Sus scrofa: one gene and its partner. The protein of the gene in region 2 purifies or fractionates together with the protein of the main gene of each other region. This does not show direct contact. Links are inferred from orthologs where the notes say so. Each region holds a gene or a part of one and is shown on either strand. Other genes may lie near its edges. The genes, in order: LRP5 and SOST.

What was found.
Region 1: the proteins of SOST (region 2) and LRP5 purify together in Homo sapiens (affinity purification with mass spectrometry; 3 studies listed by BioGRID and IntAct, counting the BioPlex papers as one, with this or other methods). This does not show direct contact. The link is inferred for Sus scrofa from reciprocal best matches to the Homo sapiens genes SOST and LRP5.

What each region holds. Positions count from the first base shown.
Region 1 is NC_010444.4:4,549,647-4,561,194, forward strand, and holds part of LRP5 (low-density lipoprotein receptor-related protein 5), read right to left. Parts: intron 8,048-11,548; coding exon 7,839-8,047; intron 6,400-7,838; coding exon 6,209-6,399; intron 5,630-6,208; coding exon 5,420-5,629; intron 2,158-5,419; coding exon 2,032-2,157; intron 1-2,031. UniProt on the Homo sapiens protein: Acts as a coreceptor with members of the frizzled family of seven-transmembrane spanning receptors to transduce signal by Wnt proteins.
Region 2 is NC_010454.4:19,349,507-19,361,637, forward strand, and holds SOST (sclerostin), read left to right. Parts: upstream 1-5,405; 5' UTR 5,406-5,774; coding exon 5,775-5,991; intron 5,992-8,941; coding exon 8,942-9,363; 3' UTR 9,364-10,842; downstream 10,843-12,131. UniProt on the Homo sapiens protein: Negative regulator of bone growth that acts through inhibition of Wnt signaling and bone formation.

The DNA of each region.
Region 1 (11,548 bases), on a different chromosome or scaffold from region 2:
TCACGGGCTATGCCCTGCCCACTGGCTCCTGTCACCGCGTGAGGCACCTGGGTTGCGGTACTTCCTGGGAGCCTCCGTGAGCCCTTACCCTCCTGTGAGGCCCCAGAAGAGAGTCCAGGGAAGATGAAGATGGGGACACAGTAGAGTCTGAGGGCCAAAGCCTGGGGAGCAGGTGACAGAGGGCCGCGTCCCCCTGTGGAGAGGCCCAGGGCCAGGGTCCGAGGGGGAGCCGAGTGCTCTGTGCAGCTCTCTCCCCGGCCCCTCTTCTCCAGGGCAGCCTGGACATCTGCGGAAGCTGCATCGTCATTCTCAGGCCACAAAGCCACGTGAGTCCCCAGGCTGGAACTCAGAACGACGCCACCAGGAAGCTCAGGAGGGTCAAGGTGGCCCCATCAGGGGACAGTCATAAAATGTCCCTTCTGTTCTTGGCTAAGCTCTCTGGGGTTCATGGTGTGAGGTGGGGCAGTAGAAAGTTCCAGAAGGATAGGCCTGTGGTCCTGCTCTCCGACATGTGCTAAGCATTTGCTGTGGGGGGGGAGGCACAGTGTGGTCCTGGGGGTGAGGATGAGGACAGAAGGGACAGGGACTCCCTCAGGAGCTCAGCAGAGGAGGGGATAAGAGAAACGACACATCCAAGGTCACCGGGGGACCAGGAGGAAGAGAGGAAGCCCCCGGGGATTGAGTTTCATCCCCTTTTTATTGCTTCTGACATCCTCACAACTAACAGCAGCTGGCATTCTCACGGGCCAAGTGTCAGGGACCACGCGAAGTACCCCGTGAAATGATAACAGCCCCATCAGGTGAGTGCTCTCAATTTCTCTGTTTCACAGAGAAGGAAGTGGAGGCTCAGAGAGGCAAGAAACCAGCCCAGGGTCCCTCAGCTGGGAAGTGGCAAAGCTGGGATGTGAACCCACATCTGTCTAACCCTAAAGCTTAGACTTTTTTTTTCTTTTTTTTTTTAAGCTGTACTCGCAGCATGTGGAATTTCCTGGGCCAGGGATCAAGTCTGTGCCACAGCTGCAACCTGTGCCACAGCTGCTTCAATGCCAGATCCTTAACCTGCTGTGCCAGGTCCAAGCTCACAGTCCTGACCACTTTGCATGCATCCTTAGGGAAGAAGAGAACCAAGGGTAAAAGGAAGTGAAAAGACAGAACTACTTAAAAAAAAAAAATTCACTACTGGTAACTGACAGCACAGTCAGGAAAGATATAGCTAACCTGAACAGCACTGAATCTGACTGACATTTACAGAACACGCCGCCCAATAAGAGAGGACACGTTCTTCTCAAGCTCACATGGAATATTCCCCAAAGTGGAGCATGCTGAGGCATAGAACATTACCTGAACAAAGTTAAAAGGATGAAAATCATACAAAGCAGGTGCTCAGATCACAACGGAATTAAACTAGAAGCAAGATGGCTAGAAAGTTTCCAACTCTTTGGAAATCACATGACATATCTCTAAATAACACGAGGGCCAAAAAATTATCTTGAGAAAAATTTTAAAATATTTGAATTAACTCAAAATGAAAATATAGGCGTTCCCGTCGTGGCTCAGTGGTTAATGAATCCCACTAGGAACCATGAGGTTGCGGGTTCGATCCCTGGCCTTGCTCAGTGGGTTAAGGATCCAGCGTTGCCATGAGCTATGGTGTAGGTTGCAGACTCGACTTGGATCCCACGTTGCTGTGGCTCTGGCGTAGGCCGGTGGCTACAGCTCTGAATAGAGCCCTAGCCTGAGAATCTCCATATGCTGTGGAAATGGCTCAAGAAATGGCAAAAAGACAAAAAAAGCAAAATGAAAATATAATTTATCCAAATTTGTGGGATGCAGCAAAAGGAGTGCTTAGAGGGAAATTCATAGCCCTGATATACCTATATTAGGAAAGAGGACAAACAAAGAGACAGTCTGATTTGGAAACTGTATGCTACCAGGAATATATATCTAAAAGGTGCCTGGCAGCAACCTCACAGGCAGAGGAATCAGGTCCCTGCTCAGTGTCCCAAAAGAAAGTGCTGAGGTCACACCTACCACCACAAGTCAATAGGTTCTGCAGGAGCACAAGGTGGACTGGGCATGAGCACCGTGGGGTTCCATCACCCTTGGCGATGCAGATGTGGGAACAGCCGCCATTGTCCCGGGCACAAGGGTGGGCTGCTGTGGAGAGAAAAAAGGGAGAGGGTTGGGTTCCTATCTCAGGACTATGGCCCAAAGGATGGAGGGGATGGGGGCCAGGCAAGAACTCATAAGAACTGGTACTCCTGTAAGAGTGTAGGAGATCCTCCCACTTTATTTTCAGGGCAGCCCATGTAGCCTGTTTCTACTGACACTGCCTTTTGCAGATGAAGAAATGGAGGCCAAAAGCACTTAGAGAACTTTCCCAGCGTCACAGCCCAGCTCATCTGTGCCAGCTTCCACTGAGCCCACAACTGTCACTCTATGCTGCCTACCTAGGTGTCTGTCTCTTGCGGTGTAGTGGTCTCCAAAGCTATGTCCACATCCTACTGCCTGGAATCTGCGCATGAGACCTCATTTGGAAAGAGTCTTTGCAAATATAACGATGCTAAGGATCTTGAGAGGGGTCTTTTCTGAATTATCCGGGTGGGCTCTGGATTTTTTTTTTTTTTTTTGTCTATTTTAGGGCCGCTCCCACTGCACATGGAGGTTCCCAGGCTAGGGGTCTAATCGGAGCTGTAGCCACCAGCCTATGCCAGAGCCACAGCAATGTGGGATCCGAGCCGCGTCTGCAACCTACACCACAGCTCATGGCAACGCTGGATCCTTAGCCCACTGAGCAAGCCCAGGGATCGAACCCACAACATCGTGGTTCCTAGTGAGATTCGTTAACCACTGAGCTATGATGGGAACTCCTGGGTGGGCTCTAAATTCACTGACACATGTCCTTATAGGAGATGACAGGAGTTAAGGATCCTGCATTGCCACTGCTGTGGCGTGGGTCCCTGCTCTGGCATGGGTTTGGTCCCTGGCCAGGGAGCTTCTGCATGCCTTGTGTATGGCCAAAAAAAAAAAAAAAAAAGAGAGATGACACAAGAAGTGGAGACAGAGGAGAAGGCCATGTGCAGACAGAGGCAGATATTGAAATGATGCAGACACAGGGAACACCTGTAACCACAGGAAGTGGGAGGCGCAAAGAACCCCCCCCCCGCAGCCACCCCAACCTCCAGAGGGAGCCCAGTCTGCAGACACCTGGACCTTGAACTCCAGACAGTAAGAGAACATGTTCGTGTTACTTTAAGTCACCCCGTTTGTGGTGATTTGTTACGGGAACTGCAGAAGACTACTACACACAAGAACTAAGATAACAAGGATGCTGAACCCCTGGGAACTTGAATATTTTAATTCAATTAAACCTCACGTGCCCAACACCTGGACAATGTTTAGGAGCCTGGGAGGGGGGCTGACCTCCCTCAGGTGGGAGGAAATGACTCTGCCCCTCGCTCCCACCCCCAGAGACAAATCAGTGTTGTCAAACTCCCCCTCAACCTTGACAACTAGGTGTTTTAAATGGAGGAATCTGGAGTTCCCACTGTGGCTCAGTGGTAAGGAACCCAACTCGTATGCAGGAGGATGCAGGCTCAATCCCGGGCCTTGCTCAGTGGGTTAAGGGTCCGGTGTTGCTGTGGCTGTGGCGTAGGCAGGCAGCTGCAGCTCAGATTAGACCCCTAGCCTGGGAACCTCCATATGCTGCAGTTACGGCCTTGAAAAGCCAAAATAAATAAATGAATAAATAAATGGAAAATGGCAGAGTCATCGTTTAGAGTAGGGCCAGCAAACATTTTCCATAAAGAATCGGAAAGTAACTTTGGCTTCACGAGCCAGGCCACCTGTCACGACTCCACAAGTCAGCCAGCTGCCTCGCAAAGGCAGCCAGGGTGACACACACACCGACTGTCCACCCTGGTCCAGAGTCCAGTTGTGGGATCTTGCAGGGCAGCAGGCCGGGTGACACACATCCTAAGGCTTTCCCGCCCTTGCCCCAAACAGAGCCTCTCTCTGTCACCCTAGTCCCTGCACATTCGTGCTCGGGGACACATCCCCGGTTTCCAGCCTCAAACCTGCTCCCTGAATGTCTCCTGGCCCCCCTGCCCCCTCAGTTCCAAGGAGCTTCTGCGCAGCTGCCTGGCTTTCAGCGACACCAGCAGGCAGTGGTCTCAGCATTTGTGGGACCAGCATCTCTGTTTTGACCATCTGCCAGGGACACACAGGAATCCAGGACTTTGCTGAGGATGGTGTGAGGGGCAGGTAAACGCAGGCGTCTAACCCACAGGCACAGCGGGCCCCGGTTCCCTGGAAGCTGGTCGTCCAGTGATTTCTCTTACCTGGGACCCAGCTGAGCACCCACGGGGCAGAAAGCACCCTCTAGCAGTCAACCCAGGGGTGACAGACTCACAGCATTAGAGGTCCTGACTCCAGTTCTGAGCAGGGAGCCCAGAAAAAAGCCCAGTGCCTAAAACATGGGCTCTGGCCTCACATCCAAGCCCCATCGTGTTTACTGGCTGGGTGACAGGGTGGCGTCACACCCTTTCTGAGCCCTGCCTCCCTCAACCGTAAAAGAATTATTGTGAAATAACACACATAACGTCATAATATACTGGGCACAGGGCCTGGCGTGCAGAACAGTCAAAACCTCGGGGGTGTGGCCGAGGTGGGAGGCCAAGGTGACGGGCTGGGCTGGGATGGGGGGCAGCCCCCCGGGCCTTGAAGGCGGCCAGACAGTGGGTATCACAGGACAAGGACAGCAAAGGCCCTGTTCACCCAGCTGGCAGCCCAGGTGTATTTACGGAACGAGGAGAGAAAAGCAAGAAGACAGAGGGACAGACATACATGTATGCCCACCTGCCTCTAAACACATGTATGGCCGTATACAGAGGGGGTGGAGGGACCAGAGGTCCCTGGGGGACACCCACCCTCCCCCAGGCACGTGGGCACAGTGCAGACTCCTACAATGACCCCCGAAGTTCCCACCCTACTCCCCAGCTGGGATGAGCTATCGTGTCTGGGGTTTTGTTACCTTCCTTGGCAAGAGGCGTTGAGAGATGTAATTAAGGTTACTAATCAGTCAAAGGGAAGCTAATCTGAAAACTGGCCGGAATCTAATCTCTGGCCCTTGGAACGCAGGGCGGGTTCCAGGTGGTAGAAAAGGAAGCCAGAGGGGTTTGCTCTGTTGCTGAGGGCGGGGAGCACACGGTGAGAGCCTGAGGGTGGCCTCTGGGAACTGAGAGTGGACCTGGCTGAAAGCCAGAACGCAAACAGGGCCTCAATCCTACAACTCTCGCGTTGGCTCAACCTCCTGTCTTTCTCCAAGGGGACCAGGTCGGGGGGCGATGTGCTCCGTGCAGGCGCCCACCCTCCCCGGGGACCCTGCACACACCGCCGCCTGCTGCCGCCCCCCACGTACAGAACTCCTCCACGCTGATGTCCTCCACGGCGTGAATGCCGGTCAGGTGGGCGACACGGCCCTGCACCCGTGTCCGCGAGTCCCCCGTGGTCTTGTCCACGCGCTCGATCATCTGCTGCTGGCGGTCAATCCAGTAGAGGTGCTTGCCCAGCACAGTCAGGCCCACGGGCTGCACGATGTTGGCGTCCTCCAGGGTCAGGCGGTTGGCCCCTGCAGGAGGGACGGCGTGCCCTGAGTGGCAGCTGACTCCGAGAGCTCGGCCCTCCCTTGACTTGGGAGGACGGGGGGGGCTGGGGCTGGGACACAGTCCCTGGAATCAGGCAGATGTGAGGTCCCTCCTCGGATGTTCCTGCTCCCACCTGGGCTGGCCTCGGGGCCAGGGCCATAACCCAAATCTGGGGCGCAGTCACTAGCCCCCTGAAAACAGGGTGCTTCCCTCCCCTCAGCCCCCTCCCCCCCAACTTCTGGAGGAAAAGCCCCTCCAAGCACTGACTCTCACGCCTCTCCAGCCCAGGGGCCTCCACACCAGAGCAGCTGCGAGAACAGGCACGAGAGGCAGAGGGTAGGATTCCTCCTCTACCCCACGCTGTGGGGCCCTGGGCAGCTGGCTCAGCCTCTCTGAGCCCAGGGGATCATCTGGGACCTGGAACGCACGGGGGGGACTATGCGTGGTAAAGCCCCAGCACGGGCCCCGCTGCCACCCTGTGACTGACGACCAGGAGGGCCCTGGTGGGTCAGACCTGGTGGCTGCCGAGGGACGGATCCCCGGGGAGGCCCCAGGGCGTGTACCTGACAGGTCGCAGCTCTCGATGCGTTTCAGGTCTGCGTCCACCCAAAAGAGCTTGCCCAGCGCGTTGTCCACCACGAGGGCCACGGGGCGGATGAGGCCCGTGGTGAAGAGGACCTCACGCTCGGTGCCATCCAGGGCGGCACGCTCGATCTTGGCCGCCCGGTCCTGCATGTTGGTGAAGTACAGGTACCTGCGGGAGGGGCGGGTGAGGGATGCTGCTGCGGACGGAGCTCCGCGCAAAGCCCCGGACAGACCTGCCCCCAGCCCTGGGGGCACCCAGCGGGGCTCCGTCACCCATCACATGGCCCCAGCCTCTCAGGGCCCCGGAGCTGAAAAAGTCACACCCTGGAGGGGTTGCAGAGTGTCCCACACAACCTTGCATCTACCCGGAGCCTCAGAACGCGACCTTATGTGGAAACCAGGTCTGTGCAGGTGTGATTTAGGACAAGGTGAGGCCCCACCCCAGGTTACGATGGGGCCCTCAACCAGTGACAGTGGCTTCGAGAGAGAGAGAGGAGCAGCCACACATACACAGAAGCTGACGTGAAGACGGAGGCTCAGAGGATGCGGCCCCGAGCCCAGGCCAAGCAGCGGCTGGGGCCCCAGAAGCCGAGGGCAGGAAGCTTCCTCCTTGGAGACTCAGGTGGGAGCACGGCCTCGCCCACACTTGACTGCAGTCCCCAGAACCACAAGGGAACAAACACCTGCTGTTTTAAATCCCCGGTTTGCAGTCACTTGTGGCGGCGGCCCCAGGCACCAGTCCTCGCTCCCATGCTTTGGTTGCTGAAGAGCCCCCTTAAATGACTGGGCCCTCGTGTGCTGTGGGGCTGGCTCTACCACTGTCTTCACATGGAAAATGAGCCCCTGGGAGGTTTGTCACCTGCCTGAGGTCACTCAGGCAGTAAGTGATGGGGCCAGGATTTGAACTCGGCTCTGTAGAGCTGATGCAGTGCCTGGACGGGTCTGATTCCAGCCTTGAGTGTCAGCTCTGCGGGTACCTGAGGTGGCCACCGTGCTCCTGCTCCTGTCCCCAAACCTTCCTGTGACTGGCTTTATTTCTGAACCCCATGTCATGTGGCTTTGGGTCCCCTCCCATCCTGGTCTTCCCCTTTGGGAGCCTCGGCATCCATCAAAGTGTCCCGGGCGCTCTCTTGCCTACCAGGGCACCCGAGGGCTGACGGTGGGAGCAGCAGGGAGCTTCAGAGAAGGAAGGAGCTCCCAGTTAGGTAGTGACCTCCCCGCGGTGGGACATATGCAAGTAAATAGTCCACCACCGCCTGGAAGGGGTGGTTGTACAGGGTTCAAGTTTGATGGGATGGTACGAAACCCATGAACGAGGACTTACAACCTTCCTGTGTTTCTCAGCAAAGCCCGGGCCCCTGCAGAGGCTTTCAGTCAAGGCCATCCCGGGGTCTCTGACTCCCCGCCAAGACTGGGGAAGAGTCAGTGTTTCCTCGACCCGCCCAGCTGCTGTGGCGGGAACCCGGGGGAGATCCTGGCGGACGGGCACGTCGGGTGGGAGAGCCCTCCTGGCTCGAGAGGCTGCCGCTCACGGGACGGACGCCGGGCACCCCCCCAGCCAGTGCAGACCCCACCCTGCGGTGCCCACCCACCCCTTCGGCCCCGTACCCTCGCTCGGCGTTGACGACGATGGCCCTCGGCTTGTCTCGGTCCCCCCGGAGCACCACGCCCATGGCGTCCCCGTTCAGCCGGTGGACGTTGATGGTGTTGGTGGCCTCGCACGTCCAGAACAGTGTCCGGCCGTAGACGTCGATGCTGAGGTCGTGGGGCTGCCTGTCTGGGCTCTGGCTTTGGCCCGGAGAGGTCAGAACGAAGGGCTGCAGAACAGGGGGACACGAGCACCAGCTAAGGACACCACAGGGAGGGCAGAGCCCTCGATGGCCGCGTTCAGACCAAAGGTCAGCCCCCCACGGGGCACCTGTCCTTTCAAACCGGCTCTTGCCCAAACGGCCATGTGGGAGCGACACTGACTCCTAGGACAGCTCCCGCCCGTCAGCTCGGACCCCAGGCTCAGCCATCAGGGACTGCACTGGGCCGGGCTGGCCGCCACCCGACCCAGACCGGCCTGTCCCTGCAGCACAGGGGCCCGCCTGCCCGCTGAGCCGTCAGCCCAGGTTCATGGGCCCCAGCTCAAGACACCTTCCCTCTCCTTGCTTCCGTGGACTCAGGCTTTGGGATTAAGACTCGAATGTTACTGTTACTTAAGCTGAGGCTTTAGAACAGCAGGTGCCACACAGAGGGCCACTTCATACAAGTCTCTTCCCGGAGGGAGAGAGGCCACGGGGAGGAGGCCTGGCGAGGGTGGGGACTGCCCACAGCACATCCTGGGAGCCCAGGGCCAGCGCGCCCCTCTCAGGCCAGTCCTCGCCACCTTCCTGCGGGTCCCCCAGGGGCGCAGCCTGACTCCTGGCCATCCGCCCTCGCAGGGATGAGCCCGGCTTCCGGAGCCACTGGCAGAGTCCCCTTCGCAGGGGACCTTGTTTCATGAGCTGATGCAGCAGGAGAGCCCAGAGCTTCCTCTCCTCACAGGCCTGGGCCTGATTCCCCGGTGGATCTGGTCCCCTGGGGTCCCCGTGGCCTGACCTGGTGCCAAGGGCTTCCCAAGCTGCTGGGCCACCGCCGCCAATGGCCTGGTGAAGAGCTCCCTGCTCTGAGGAGGGAGCCTCTCAGGGTGAGGCTGGGGTCAGAGCAGACTCTCCACTTACACCTCGCTCCAGCAGGTGATACCAGGCATCTCCCGGGGGTAAGAGGGGGCTGGCAGCCAAAGAGCAGCCCCCTTCCCCAGGCCCAGCCTCCTGGACCCATCTGGAGAGGAACAGCCCCCTCCAGCCCCCGCCCACAGCGGCCTCTGGTCCAGCCCCACTGGGCAGCTGGAAGTGTCACCCGCATCTCTGCACGTACCGACGTGCGCAGCCCCAAGGAGCCACACGTCAGCTCTAAGCAGGCACAGCCCTGGAGTCACGGACCACAGCCCAGGGCGGCCAACGGGCTGGGCGGAAAGCAAGACTGCAGCTCGCCCTGGCCGGACGCGGGACTGCAGGGCGGGTAACGGGGCAGCTGGGCACAGAGTCATCAGAACAACCAGCTGACAAACGTGCCCAGGGGAGCCACACACCGCCCCCGCCCTGCCAGGCAGAGAAACCGGGAGACAGACTGCACGTGCTGGGCCGGCTTCAGAGAAGCCAGACCCCGCTTCTGACACAAGGAACAGGCCTCCGGCCAGGGCCGAACCGGGGCAGAACCCTCTCCATCAGCACGCTCAACACCCTTCCCCCTCGCCAGTGCAAAGCGGCACTTAGCCTGTGGGCGAGCCTGCGGCTGCAGACTCCCTCCAGCCCAAAGGAGGGCACAGCCCAAGCCACCGCTGAGGTCGATGGACCAGCAAAACGCGTGCTGCACAGACACCATGTGTTGGTCTTAAAGAGGAAGCAAATTCAGCAGCGCCTCCGCGCCTGCCCGCCTGCTTCTCGTCCAAGCATCCCATCCTCATAAATCTCTTTCTTGCGTGTGGCTTTGTCTCTCGCTGAATCCCTTTGCGCAAAGACATAAAGACCCTGAACCTCAGTGAGTCCAGACACCGGGTGAGTGATTTTAATTTAAAACTGTGGGTTTGGGAGGTCCCATCGTGGCACAGTGGGAACGAATCTGACTAGCACCCCTGAGGACACGGGGTCGATCCCTGGCCGTGCTCAGTGGGTTAAGGATCCAGCCTTGCTGTGAGCTGTGGTGTAGGTCACATATGCGGCTTGGGTCTGGCGTGGCTGTGGTGTAGGCTGATGGCTACAGCTTCTGATTCGACCCCTAGCCTGGAAACCTCCACGTGCCGCAAGTGCAGCCTTAAAAAGAAAAGACAAAAACCGTGGGTTTGTCCCAATCTGGTTCTAGGCTGGGTTTGACTCCCGGCAGGTGGGTTCACATTCCAGTCTGTGTTCTGGCTGCGTTCAGGCCGTTAGCGCTGTCAGATTCAAAACCACCTCCTCCTCTCTCCAAAGAGGGTGCGGTCTTCAGCGCATGAGCCTGCTGTGGCCTCCTTTGCTCGGAAAAGCAAATTCTGCCACGTGCTATGGTGCCAACGAACCTTGAGGACATTAGAGGAAGTGAAATAAGCCAGTTACAAAAAGATAAATACTGTGTGATTCTGCTTAAATGACGTACGTAGAGCTGTCAAACTCACAGAAACAGCAAGGAGGACGGCAGGTGCCAGGGACCGGTGTGGGGGTGGCGGGGGGAAGGGAGGGTTAGTGGTTTTTGTTTTGCTTTGTTCTTTTCTTTTTTTAGGCCACCCCGAGGCAGATGGAATTCCTGGACCAGCGATCAGGTTCAAGCTGCAGTTGCGGCAACGCCAGATCCGGAACCCACCATGCCAGGCCGGGAGACTGAACCTGCATCCCAGCGCTCCAGAGACACTGCCGATCCCGTGGCACCACAGCGGGAACTCTGAGAGTTCGTGTTAAATGGGCACAGAGTTTCATCTGGATGGAGCTGATGGTGGCGCCACAATATGCATGGACTTAACGTCACTGAGCTGCTCGCTTAAAGAATGTTTCAAATGGGAGTTCTCGTTGTGGCGCAGCAGAAATGTAGCCGACTAGGAACCGTGAGGTTGTGGGTTCGATCCCTGGCTTTGCTCAGTGGGTTAAGGATCCGGTACTGCCATGAGCTCACAGACACGGCTCGGATCTGGCATTGCTGTGGCTGTGGCATAGGTTGGCAGCTGTAGCTCCCATTAGACCCCCAGCGTGGGAACTTCCATATGCTGCAGGTTCACCCCTTAAAAAAAAAAAAAGAACGTTTAAAATGGAAGTTCCCATTGTGGTTCAGCAGATTAAGGATCTGGCATTGTCACTGCAGTGGCCCAGGTCACTGCCATGGCGTAGGTTCAATCCCTGGCTGGGGGGGAAACTTCTGCCTGCCACAGATGTAGCCAAAAAAAAAAAAAAAAAAGGTTTAAAATGGTAAATTTTATGTCATGTATATTCCACCACAAAAGAATAAACAATGAAGTAAAAAAAACAACAGCCAAATAGTTATAGAGTCAAGACCATCATGCCTGGGGGCCGGGTGGTGACCCCCATAAAGAATTAAGGCCCCCAGAGGATGGAGTTCTAACAAGAGAGGCAGGGATGGAAATGAATGTTTCCCAAATTAAGTGCCCCTAAAGGGGCTTTTTCTTCAAAGTCTCCCCGACTTTGCCAGACACCATAAGAGGACGCAGGAGAACGCCTCTCCGCCTCTCCGAGAGACAGACGACAGACGTTCAGGCAATTTGCGCCCAGCAACGTTCCCAGCAGGGAAGCCTCGGTCCGGCAATTAACACA
Region 2 (12,131 bases):
ACTGGAAAGAGAGGCCATCTCCGGTTGAGAGGGCCGATTGGTTGGAAGCTTAATTTACCTCCTGTCAGCTTTTAGGGTAATTCGATTGTGAAAGTGTGAATTTTCTGGACAGAAAAAGGGAAGGTATTAAATTGATTTTAAAAACAAAAGTAAGTTTAATGTCTGTTATATCACAAGTCAGTGTTAAAACACTAAAACTGTAACCAAAATAAATGTCTTACATTACAGAGAAATGGTCTTTTGTGTCCTCCTCATTGTAGTTGATTTTCTTTTACTGTTCATGCTTAGCTTTTATGTTTGCTTTTCTTAACTTTTAAAAATAATCATCATCTGAAAACTAGCCTGCCTAAGCTAGTTATAGGTCCTGTCATGGTTATATTTATGCAGTAAATATTTGCTGAAATCTCTCCAGTACCAGAAATTCCCTGTTAGGAAAAAATCTTTTTATATATTTAATTTTTTAAATGTCAGGTTTATTGCACTATCACACACATCTGACTAGCATCCATGAGGACGCAGTTTCGATCCCCGGCCTCTCTCGGTGGGTTAAGGATCCAGGGTTGCCATAAGCTGTGGTGTGGGCCAGCCGCTACAGCTCTGATTTGACCCCTAACCTGGGAACCTCCATATGCCATGGGTTCGGCCCTTAAAAAAAAAAAAAAAAAAGGAAAGCAAAAAAATAAAAACAGAACTGGGAATGTGTTTTTAAGTGTAACTAAAAAAACATTTTCATTTAAAAGGTACTACTGTATATACATAGTAATAAATTCAAACAATACAAAAGGCTTGGAACAAAAAGTCAATCTCCTACCCCAAACCTTCATGCCTCTTTCCTAGAAGAAGCCACTACCAAGTATGTCCTTTTAGAAACGTGCCATGCACGTGTAGGTGCACACAATCCGTGTGTGTGTAGAGATGACCTTTCCCCTGTAACGGAAAATGTTCTCGAACTTTTCCTTGTCTTGCTTGACAATATATTGTACTCGCTGTTTCTTCTGGTTCCATTCATTGTAGCAACCACATAGCATCCATTGTCTACAGAGGTAGAGTGACTTCTGCATACTCTTTGTAAGCGGGCATCTGGAAGTTTCCAGGCTAGGAGTCTAATCGGAGCTGCCCGCCTATGCCCCAGCCACAGCAACGCCAGATCCAAATCGTGTCTGCGAGCTACACCACAGCTCACAGGTACTAGTTGGGTTTATTACCATTGAGCCACAACAGGAACTCCCTGTACACTCTTATTTTAAAGGTCCAGGCTGCTTTAAGGACCCCACCTGTAAAATGAGACTCAGGAATGATAATCACAGTGTTTTAACAGTTTGGTATCCAGGTAATTTTTGGCGTCTGCTCGGGGTGGTACAGTGTCAAGGATATCCCAACATTCAGAGCTAACCAAGGAGGGGTGTCTGCTGCTCCCTTGCGTAATTTTATGGTTGTGGACATGCCTGAGTCTAGCTGTGAAAAAGACAGTCTCTGACCTATATAGTCTGCTGAATTGCCAACCCATTTATAAGAAGTTGGGGAGTTCCCATTGTGGCTCTGTAGGTTAAGAACCTGACATAGTGTCCCCGAGGATGTGGGTTCCATCCCTGGTCTCACTCAGTGGGTTAAGGATCTGGTGTTGCCAAGAGGTGCGGCATAGGTCATAGATGCAGCTCTGATCCCATGTTGCCGTGGCTGTGCGTTGCCATGGAGGCCCGCAGCTGCAACTCCAATTCTGATTCAGCCCTCCCTGGGAACTTCCATATGCTGAAGGTGTAGCCCTTAAAAAAAAAAAAAAAAAAAAAAAAAGAATCCTCAGTTTCCATGAATGAGAGATGGGGGGCTTGGGAGCCAAGTGGAGAGTGAAGCAAACTTACCCCTGAGGTCTCTTTCAAACACTCTACAGTCCCGAGTCCCGGGAGCATAACTTACTTTCCAAATTTGGCATGTTCTTCAGAGTCTGGTCCAAATGCCACATCTTCCCAGATCCACCCCAAGGGTGTTCTCTTCTCTAAAGGCCCATAATAGGACTTGCCACTGTGGCTCAGTGGCGATGAACCTAACTGGTATCCATGAGGGTGAGGGTTCCATCCCTGACCTCGCTCAGTAGGTTAAGGATCCGGCGTCACTGTGAGCTGTAGTGTAGGTCACAGATGCGGCTTGGATCCCAAGTTGCCTGGCTGTGGTGTAGGTCGGCAGCCATAGCTCTGATTCGACCCCTAGCTTGGGAACTTCCATATGTTGCAGGTGTGGCCCTAGAAAGCAAATAATAATATTAATTAATTAATTAGAAAATAAAAGGCCCATTACACTTTGTTCTTTTATTTTTTCTTAATTTTTCAATTTTTTGTCTTTTTAGGGCTGCACCCTCAGCATCTGGAGGTTTCCAGGCTAGGGGTCGAATCAGAGCTGTAGCCACTGGCCTACACCACAGCTACAGCAATGCCAGATCCAAGCTGTGCCTGAGAGCTACACCACAGCTCATGGCAACGCCGGATCCTTAACCCACTGAGCAAGGCCAGGGATCGAACCTACATCTTCATGGATACTAGTCAGGTTTGTTTCCGCTGAGTCTCGACGGGAACTCCCAATTGAAATTGTTTTAACAGCCCAAGCTTGGCATTGGCAGCCTTGCGGAGAAACATGCTATTATGTGTTGAATTGTGTTCCTCCAAAATTTATATGTTGAGGAGTTCTCACTGTGGCTCAGCGGGTTAAGAACCCAACTAGTATCCATGAGGATGTGGGTTTGATCCCTGGCCTCGCTCAGAGGGTTGAGGATCTGGTATTGCTGTGGCTGTGGTAGTTCCCTAGCTTGGGAACAACCATACGCCTCAGGTGTGGCTCTAAAAAAAAAAAAAGGGAAAAAGAAAACAATATTCATCTATTATTCCAAGTACCTCAGAACATGACCTTATTTGAAAGTAGGGTTGTTGCAGGTGTTGAGATGAGGTCATCAGGGTGGGCGCTAATCCAACGTGACTGACGTCCTTATAAAAACGGGGAAATTAGGAGTTCCCATTGTGGCGCAGGGGAAACGATCCTGACTAGGATCCATGAGGATGAGGGTTCGATCCCTGGCCTCGCTTAGTGGGTTAAGGATCCAGCATTGCTGTGAGCTGTGGTGAAGGCCAGTGGCTACAGCTCCAATTCTATCCCTAGCCTGGGAACTTCCATATGCCCCAGGTGCGGCCCTAAGAAGAAAGGAAAAAAAAAAAAAAAAGCAAGGAGAGGTCATCTCTGCGGTCACAAAATTGTTCTTTGTTTTGGCTGTGATGGTGGTTACTTGAACCAACCCACACGATAAAGTTGCATAAAACTAAACACACACACACACACGTACAAATAAAACTGGGGAAATCTAAGACCAGTGCATTGGGTCGATGTCAGAACCCTGGGTTTTGCAAGATGATACGAGAAAACTAGGCAAAGGGAATAGGAAATTTTCTCTGTATTATTTCGTACAAGTGCACGTGATACGATGACCACAAAATAAAAGGTTCAATTCAAAAAACGACTTTGTCCAAGGATGTTCACAGCATCCCTATGGAGGATAGGGGAGCCCCCTAAACTACCCACAACAGAAATAAAACCCTGGGAGTCTAATTCCAGGGAGTATTGTCTAGCTCTGAACATTGCCACGTTTGCGGACTGAATAAATATAAAGCTGAATTAGTGTTAAGGGGAAAAGCAGATGGCATCATAGTAAATTCTCTCTGAGACATTCTATGGAAAGCGTGACCATTACCTTGGCAGAGAGTAATTCTAAAGGATGGAGATAAGTTAGAAGTTCAAGTCCACTGGATTCTTCTTTTTCTTCTTCCTCTTCCCCTTCCTCTCCTTCGTCTTCTTCTTCTTTTCCTTCTCCCTCCCCTGTGCTCTCCCTAAACATTACTTCAGTTTCAAATAAAATAAATGAAATCCTGAGCCCTGCCGTCCTCTGGTCGCTGGCTCTTCCTCCCATCTCCAGCAGGTGGCAGACGTGTTCCAAGGATGGTCCCCACCGAGTCCCTTTCCTGTGGATGAGCCGCAGATCCCAACAGCAGGTGGGGCTCCAGCATCATTCTCACCAGCTCAAAGACTCCAGACAGCGGAACTGCCCTCTCCGAAGTCCAGGGCAAGAAGACAGTTGTCTGGCCGCAACAGGGTTAATGGCTCACATTCCAGAGCAAGGAAAAAGGAGGCTGGAGGGTCACAGACAAGGGGAGGGGGCTCGCAGGGCCCCCTTTCTCACAACACAGGCCAGCTCTGCTGGGAGAGATAGATCACCCCCAACAATGGCCACAGCTGTTTTCGTCTGCCCTGAAGGAAACTGACTTAGGAAGCAGGTATCAGAGAAGGCCCTTCCTGTAGGGGCTTCTGTCTGGCTTGTAAAACTGTCAGAGCAGCTGCATTCATGTGTCGAGTGATGGATGATGGAAAGGAGGGACAGACGGCCGCAGATGGACACAGCGACTTACAAGTCGAGGCAGGTGGCAGAGGCGTTGCCGAGGCTCTGCAGGTGGGGTGCGCTGATTCATTGCCCAGTGAAAATACCAAGGGGACCTGGGCCACGGCCCTCTTCCCAGCCTCCTCCAGGGCCGGGAGGGGCTGTGCCGCCTCAGACAATACATCTGCAATGAAAGCTTCCGCCGCCGGCCCTCCTTCATTTTCCTGCACCTCAGGTGTGAACCTGCCTCCCCCCGGGCCTTTCTTTCTTCTCCAGGGCCTAGGGAGCAATTCCTTTTGGGTTCTCTGTGGCTGGCTGGACCTGGGGTGGCTTCACGGAATGTTCCCTGTACTCTGCACCGATAAGGTTTTCCATAATGGCCTCAGAGCTCGCTTTGAAAAATGTAAGGGGCTGGGAGACAAGAAAAAGAACGTTAGCACTAAAAATGCTGGCTTTCGCTTTTGCTAAGAAAAGGAATTTTCTGCTCTCTGCTCCTTCCCACAGCCTGGCCCAGGGAAATAACTGCCTTTGGCACATTAGCCCGCCAAGACGCGCCTGTCACCAAATGCAGGATTTCTGAGAAGCATGAGCTAAGGTTTCCTCCTTGTCTCCATCACCAGGGCCTGCTGACTGTGCATCCTGGCCTTGAACCCAGAACCCCTGCTCCCTCCACCAAGCGGGAGCGCTGGCTGTGGCCTTCTGGTTTTCCCTCTTCCCTTCCAGAGGACACGAGTGGCGCTTTCTTGGTCTGGATAATTGATGCCGAGCTGCATGGAGTTGAGGGCCAAGGAGGTTTCTTAAAAAGCATCCTCCTGCGTCTGCCGGGATCTGGGGCAGGGGAAGGGGGTGGGGGGAGGGACAGATACTCGTAGACCCCCGAGACAAATGAACTTGGTCTGAGACATGGGATCAGCTGGGCTGAGACCTATGGAGGACGCAGAGCTGCCGTTTTCTTTGTTAAACTGGTCCAGGTTGGTTTTGAGAAAGCCCGAGGGGCCCAGAGAGGTGGAGGCGAGGAGCTGGAGCTCCTTCTGATATCTGAAAACCACAGGCGCCTGCGCGTGGGAGGGAGACACGGAGAGCAGGCTCGTCTGGCCCGCCCCCTCGCTGTGGGTCACCTGGGAGCACCAGCCGCACTTTGGGGAGATTTCTGAGCCCGAGGAGAAGTCTTTGGGGGAGGGCCTGCTCTGAGCACACCCCGTTCCCTCCCCCTGGGCTGAGGGAAGCATGGGACCAGCCCTGCCCCAGCCTGTCCTCATTGGCTGGCACGAGGCAGAGGGGGCTTTAAAAAGGCAAACGTGGCCAGGCTGGGGACCAGAGCCTGTGCTACTGGACGGCCCGGTGCCCTCCTCCGGCTGGCACCATGCAGCTCTCGCTCACCCTGTGTCTCGTCTGCCTGCTGGTACACGCAGCCTTCCGCATGGTAGAGGGCCAGGGGTGGCAGGCCTTCAAGAACGATGCCACGGAAATCATCCCTGAGCTGAGCGAGTACCCGGAGCCTCTGCCAGAGCCGAACAACAAGACCATGAACCGGGCAGAGAACGGAGGGAGGCCTCCCCACCACCCCTTCGAGACCAAAGGTATGGGGCGGAACATTTGTAGCATAAGGGTCCTGGGAGGGTTCTCTTTGGGTGGGTTTTTTTTTTTGTAATTTTATTGGCGTGTAGTTGACTTACAGGGTTGTGTCAGTTTCAGGTGTGCAGCGAAGTGATTCAATCATACATATACACGCATCTATTCTTTTTCCTTGTCCCATATAGGTTATTAGAGAATAGTGAGCAGAGTTCCGTGTGTTAAACCGTAGGTCCTCTTTGGTTACCTATGTTCTAGCTTTGATGGGGGTCGAAGACCAGGGTTGACACGCTGGGGTACACTGGGAGCCACTGTCAGCACCAGCGGAGGGACAGTCCTACCTGGAAGTAGGGGAAGGATGGCATGCCAGCGTAGCCTTGGATTTCAAGTGCCAGGGTGTGGGACGGGCAGGGGACTGGCAGTGAGAGCCCAGAGCAGGAAGGGGGCTGAGGTGGTGAGGGTACAGCCTGGGGACAGGCTCAGGGGCTCAGAAAGGAGACTCCAAACACTCCTCTCCTGAGAAGAGGGGAACCAGGGTCCAGCTGCTGACGCCACTGGAGAGGGGACAAGGCAGGGGAGCCTCACGTCTATGAGCACCTGCTGGATGCAGACACCATTTGGGCTGCACCCGAAATGTACCCCCGGAGAACTCCCAAGGTGAAGGTGAAGAAACGGAGGCTTCAGAGATTAAGTGGTTTGTCAGCAAGCAGAGAACTGAGATTTGAAGCCACTTGGATCCCGTTACAAGTCAGCCCTGGCAGGGGGTGGGGTGGGGTGGGGTGTCAGGGCCAAAAGCAGGAGCAAATCTCCACCAAGTGGTGGGAGATACCAGAGCGGCATCCTTCCAGCTCCCACCACCCCTGGTCTAGCCAGTGAGCTGGCACCAGAAGGCATGGGAGCTGCAAGCACAGTTTTAGCTTCTGACCTGGGGGGCAGCTGGGTCCAGGCCCTGGACGGGAGGCAGCATCCTCTGTGCAGGGCGTGGACACAGGTGGCCCCATCTGTCCTAAAACCTCACCCCAGACCCGGCCTTGCTTCCGCCCTGGGAGGGAGGCTGACCCTGGTAGAAAGGCAGTGACCCCAGCAGAGGGCGCACCTGGGTTCCTGGTCAGGTCCACACGGAGAAGCCTGGGGGGCAGTGTGCACAGCTGGCCCTGCAGCAGGTGGGAACTGCTGGGGGCAGGGGCCAGGATGGCACTTCAGAGTGAGGCCCTCTGGCCATGGTCCAGGTGAGAGAGGGAGTCCCCCTTGCCCAGGCTCCAGCATTCTGCCCTGCTTCACCACCAGCGGGGACTGGGGGCTCTGCACAGGGCACCCCCAGATAAGGCTGGTGGAACCACCCATCTTTAAAGGGGGTGGGTAGGAGTGCCTCTCCTCTGCTCCTGCCCAGGGAAGGTCAACTAAGCTCAAGTGATGGGCTCGAGTACAAGACGCCACCTCCCTGGGCTCCTATGAGAGCCACTGGCCCAGAGGAAGCCTCGTGCTCAAAACAAAGTCACCCTTTGCAGAGGAAGAGCCTGACCTAGGGGTACTATTCTTGGAAAGCCCCACAGCCTCCTTCCCTGGGCAAGGAGGCCGCCCCCACACACCACCCCTGCGGCTTGGGAGCAGGGATCAAGATGCCAAACCCGCCCAGAAACCAGAAGGCCAGCCACGGGAGGAGGGCAGCCCCCACGTCTCTCCTGCTGTGCTTCTTCTCCCAGGGCTGCGGCCCTGGCCTTCTCCGCCTCCTCTCTGGTTTTGGTCTTAGGACTATTTTTCATTGCTTTGTGTCACATTGGAACTGTCCCTATGAGACCCTTGGAGATGAGCAGGTGCTCACATGAGGACCAGCCGTGTAAAAAAGCTCCCAGGGGTCTAAGCCCACAGTGGGAGACACAGTCAAGGTGTCTCAGGGGGATCAAGCCAGGCCTTAGAGCCCAACCTTCCCCCAAGCAGGGGGCAAGCCTGTGTCACCATCAGGTGTCCATCAAATGTACCCCCCCCCACCCACACACACAAAGATGGGCCTGGCAGAGTGCCTGGTACACAGCAGGTGCCTAATACATGTTTGCGGCAGCTGCAGCTGTAGGTTTCCAATCAGAGCTTGGTCTGTCTCTGATAGGGAGGTAAAGGCAGTCAAAAAAATCAGCCCTTTGTCCCCTGACCGTCAGCCTAGCCTTCCATGGGCTCCAGCAAACGCCCTTGTGGGAGCTGAGAAATACTGAGGCCCCAGGGGCGCAGAGCCGGGAGACGAGCTGTGCCTTTTGGGCAAGTGCTTTCCCCACTCTGGGCCTCAGTGACCACGGCCGTCATGAGGGGCCGGGCAGGCCGCCCTTGCTCCTTTCCCGTCTGATGACTTCAGACTCGGCTGCACCTCCCCTTCCATCTCTCTTCTCAGCGGCTGCCCTGATTTAGTACCTTCAATCAGCCCCGCTCCTTCCTCCATCCCCTCTGCCAGCCCTCCCAGCCAGAAGAGGAATCTGGGAGAAGCCAAAGCCATTCAGAGAGTGAGGCCAGGGACCCTGTGGCACAGATGTGACTTACCTCTGGCCAAGAGGGCCCCCTGGAGAGGAATAATAATAACATACAAGAGCCAACACTTCTAGCACTTACTGTGTGTTAGGCGGTGTCCCCTGAAATACATACATAATGGATTCATTCACGGAATCCTCAAGACCAGCCATTTTACAGATAGGAAGCACAGAGAGGTTAAGTAACTTGCCCAAGGTCACACAGTGGTGGAGCCCATATTTGACCTTGAAGCAGTCACCTGACCCCAAAGTTTTAGGGGGACAGGGTGGGCCAGAGAGCTTTCCCCCAGCTCCAGAGTACCCGGGCCCTTCGCGCATAACAGATCCCCAGGGGCCAAAGCGTCCAGGGAGAGGGCAGGTTTGGAAATGGCGAGGGTGGCTTGGAGGGAGCCCGGCGGGTGGCCCGACTGGGCAGCCGCCCTGACGCGCGCGCCTCTCTCCGCAGACGCCTCCGAGTACAGCTGCCGCGAGCTGCACTTCACCCGCTACGTGACGGACGGGCCGTGCCGCAGCGCCAAGCCGGTCACCGAGCTGGTGTGCTCGGGCCAGTGCGGCCCCGCGCGCCTGCTGCCCAACGCCATCGGCCGCGGCAAGTGGTGGCGCCCCAGCGGGCCCGACTTCCGCTGCATCCCCGACCGCTACCGCGCGCAGCGGGTGCAGCTGCTGTGTCCCGGAGGCGCGGCGCCGCGCGCGCGCAAGGTGCGCCTGGTGGCCTCGTGCAAGTGCAAGCGCCTCACTCGCTTCCACAACCAGTCCGAGCTCAAGGACTTCGGGCCCGAGGCCGCGCGGCCGCAAAAGGGCCGGAAGCTGCGGCCCCGCGCCCGGGGCGCCAAAGCCAACCAGGCGGAGCTGGAGAACGCCTATTAGAGCCAGTGGCGCCGCGCCCCGCACCCAGGCGCCCCAGGTTTCCGCCCCCCTGCGCGCGGTTTGAGCGTTTGTATTTCATTTTAAGTGCCTGCAACCCAGGGCCGGAGGTTGAGACCTTCCTGGCTGCAGCGGGAGGGAGCCAGGCCCTGTGGATCCCAGGTGTCAGCAAAGCCCCCCCTCTTCTCTCCCTCCTAGGGGGTCCCGGGGCAGGGGAGGAAACTGAGTCACAGACACTGAGCCACGTAGCCCCGCCCACCGGGGCCGCCTACCTTTGCAGGTCCCACTTCGGAGGAGGCAGGAAAGAAAGCGTTTCACTGCCCTGGGGATTTAAGGGAGCAGTAGGGAGTGAGAAGAGTCCAGGGACTGGTTAAGAAAGTTCGATAAGATCCACCCCACCCCCCCAGCTCTCTGCCAGTCAGAAAGCCTTTAGTGCCGTGTTGTGCCCAGGACTGACTTGCCGGGTGACCTCTGGTTACGCTCTTCTCTTCCCGGACCTCGATTTCCTCTTTATAAAATGGAGATGGAGTGAGATTAGCATCTGGAAGAATCTACTGTCCTATGAGTCCCTTTGAATGGGCAGAGGAGAGAGAGCTTGGATTGAATCACTGATATTGTCGCTTCCAGCATTTGGAGTTGTAATCCTCTGATCTGACAGCCAAAGATGAAAAACAAGCAGGAAAAAAGAAAGGAGTCTATTTCTGGCTGACTAACTCGGGGAAGAAGCTGTGGTGTGTCCTAGGCTGCTCTCCCCAGATGTTTGGCTACCCCCACCCCTCCATCTCAAAGGACCCAGAAACAACAGCATCAAATGGGGTAGAGAAGACGGTCCCAAGGGTGGTGGGAGGCACAGAAATCGCCCCCTGTTCCCAAAGAGCAGCCTGCCACCCCATGGCCATGTTTTGTCATCACTTTCTGCAGAGAGGAGAGCTCAAGGACCCATACCCTGGGCTTGCCACCGCCCGTTCAAACACCAGCAGGTCCCTTCCGAGGTACCTCCTCCTGCCTCCCACCCACGGAAACATTTCTGGCTGGAAAAGAGCTTCTTACTGCTGTTACGTGGGATGGCATATCTTATATTAAAATAATATCATTGGGGAAAAAATGACAAGTGCTGTATATATGCTGAGAAACCGCAAAGCTTCATAGCTGCCATCCAAAAATCTTTTTGGAAAATCATTTCCAGACACCACTTACTTTCTGTGCAGTTTTCATTGTTACAAAAAAAAAAATTTTTTTTCAGCAGAAGCACGTGCCATGTGAAAGCCTACCCAGCTGGTTGTTTTTGCCATCTTTTCATGTGGGATTTGTCCCCAAGAATGAACATCACAGTTTTTAAAGAAGAGTTAAGTTACCTATTTATTTTCTCACTTAAGTTATTTATGCCAAAGTTTTCCTTGTAGAGAAGGACAACATAAATATTGCTTTATGAAATACCCGTCTGTTCTTTCAAAACCCAGAGGCATTGTTAATAAAGACCATGAAGTGACACGGAGAGGATGTGATCTTGTTTTGTCAACCACATGTGGTCATTCTTGTCACCGTTAACATCTTTCTCTTGGTCCCTGGCGCTTAAACCTTGGAGGCCCCCTTTGACAGGGTTATGGTAGCCCTTGTAGCAATTATGTCCTTCCTTTGAGAGGTCAAGTTCCGTCCCTTCCTTTCCAAACCCAGACTTCCTCCCTTTATGCAGGCTGTTGTATCAGCCTCAGCCTGCTCTCCCGTTAGCAGCTTGCCCGCCCCAATGTCTTCTCCAAACACTGTTCTCCCCACGTCGATACCCCTGCTCTCCATCCCCCAGTGGTTCCTCCTTGCCCAGGATCAAGTTGACAAGTAAGGCTGCTTGATTCCCATCCCCCATTCCACCAATCTTCCTTAATGACCCCCAAGTGGCCAGAGCTGTCCTGATTCCGGCCCCCTGAGCTGACACCCCCCACAACTCCTGCTCTTTCTTGGGGGTTCGTCTTCTTTGTCACCTCTTCCCTAAAACTTCCGGAGATGCTCCAGCCCCTGCTGATGCCTCTCTCCTCAGCCGTCCAGCCCCTTTGTTCGTATCGTTCCTTTCCTTCCTGACTCTGTGTCTTCCATGCAACATCCATTCGTGGGTCACCTGTCTCGCCCGGCCAAGCCGTGCCTAGCACTTGGAGAGACACAAAGCCAAGTACGCCTTAGGACCAAGCTCGCTGGAGTTCAGTCAAGCCTTTTCTCCAGTGTGAGTTTTATGCTTCCCTGGTGAAAAGGTAAACTCTTCACAAGCAAGGGCAATGTCTTGTACTTCTCTCAAAAGTCTTGAGAGGGGGTTCCTATCGTGGTGCAGTGGAAAATAATCCGACTAGAAACCATGAGGTTGCGGGTTTGATCCCTGGCTTCACTCGATGGGTTAAGGATCTGGCATTGCTGTGAGCTGTGGTGTAGGTCGCAGACATGGCTTGGATCCTGCATTGTTGTGGCTCTGGCGTAGGCTGGTGGCTACAGCTCTGATTGGATCCCTAGCCTGGGAACCTCCATATGCCACGAGTGCGGCCCTAAAAAGCAAAAAAAAAAAAAAGTAGATAGATGAGATTACTGGAGTTCCCTGGTGGCTCAGTAGTTTAAGGATCAGGGCACTGTTACTGCTGTGGCTCAGGTTGCTGCCATGCTGTGGGTTTGATCCCTAGACAAGAACTTCCATATGCTGAGGGTGCAGCCAAAAAAAAAAAAAAATTTTTGTCTCATTTAATAGGGCTGGATGCCAGCTGAGACTCAAGAAATATTCTTCCCTTTCCATAAGG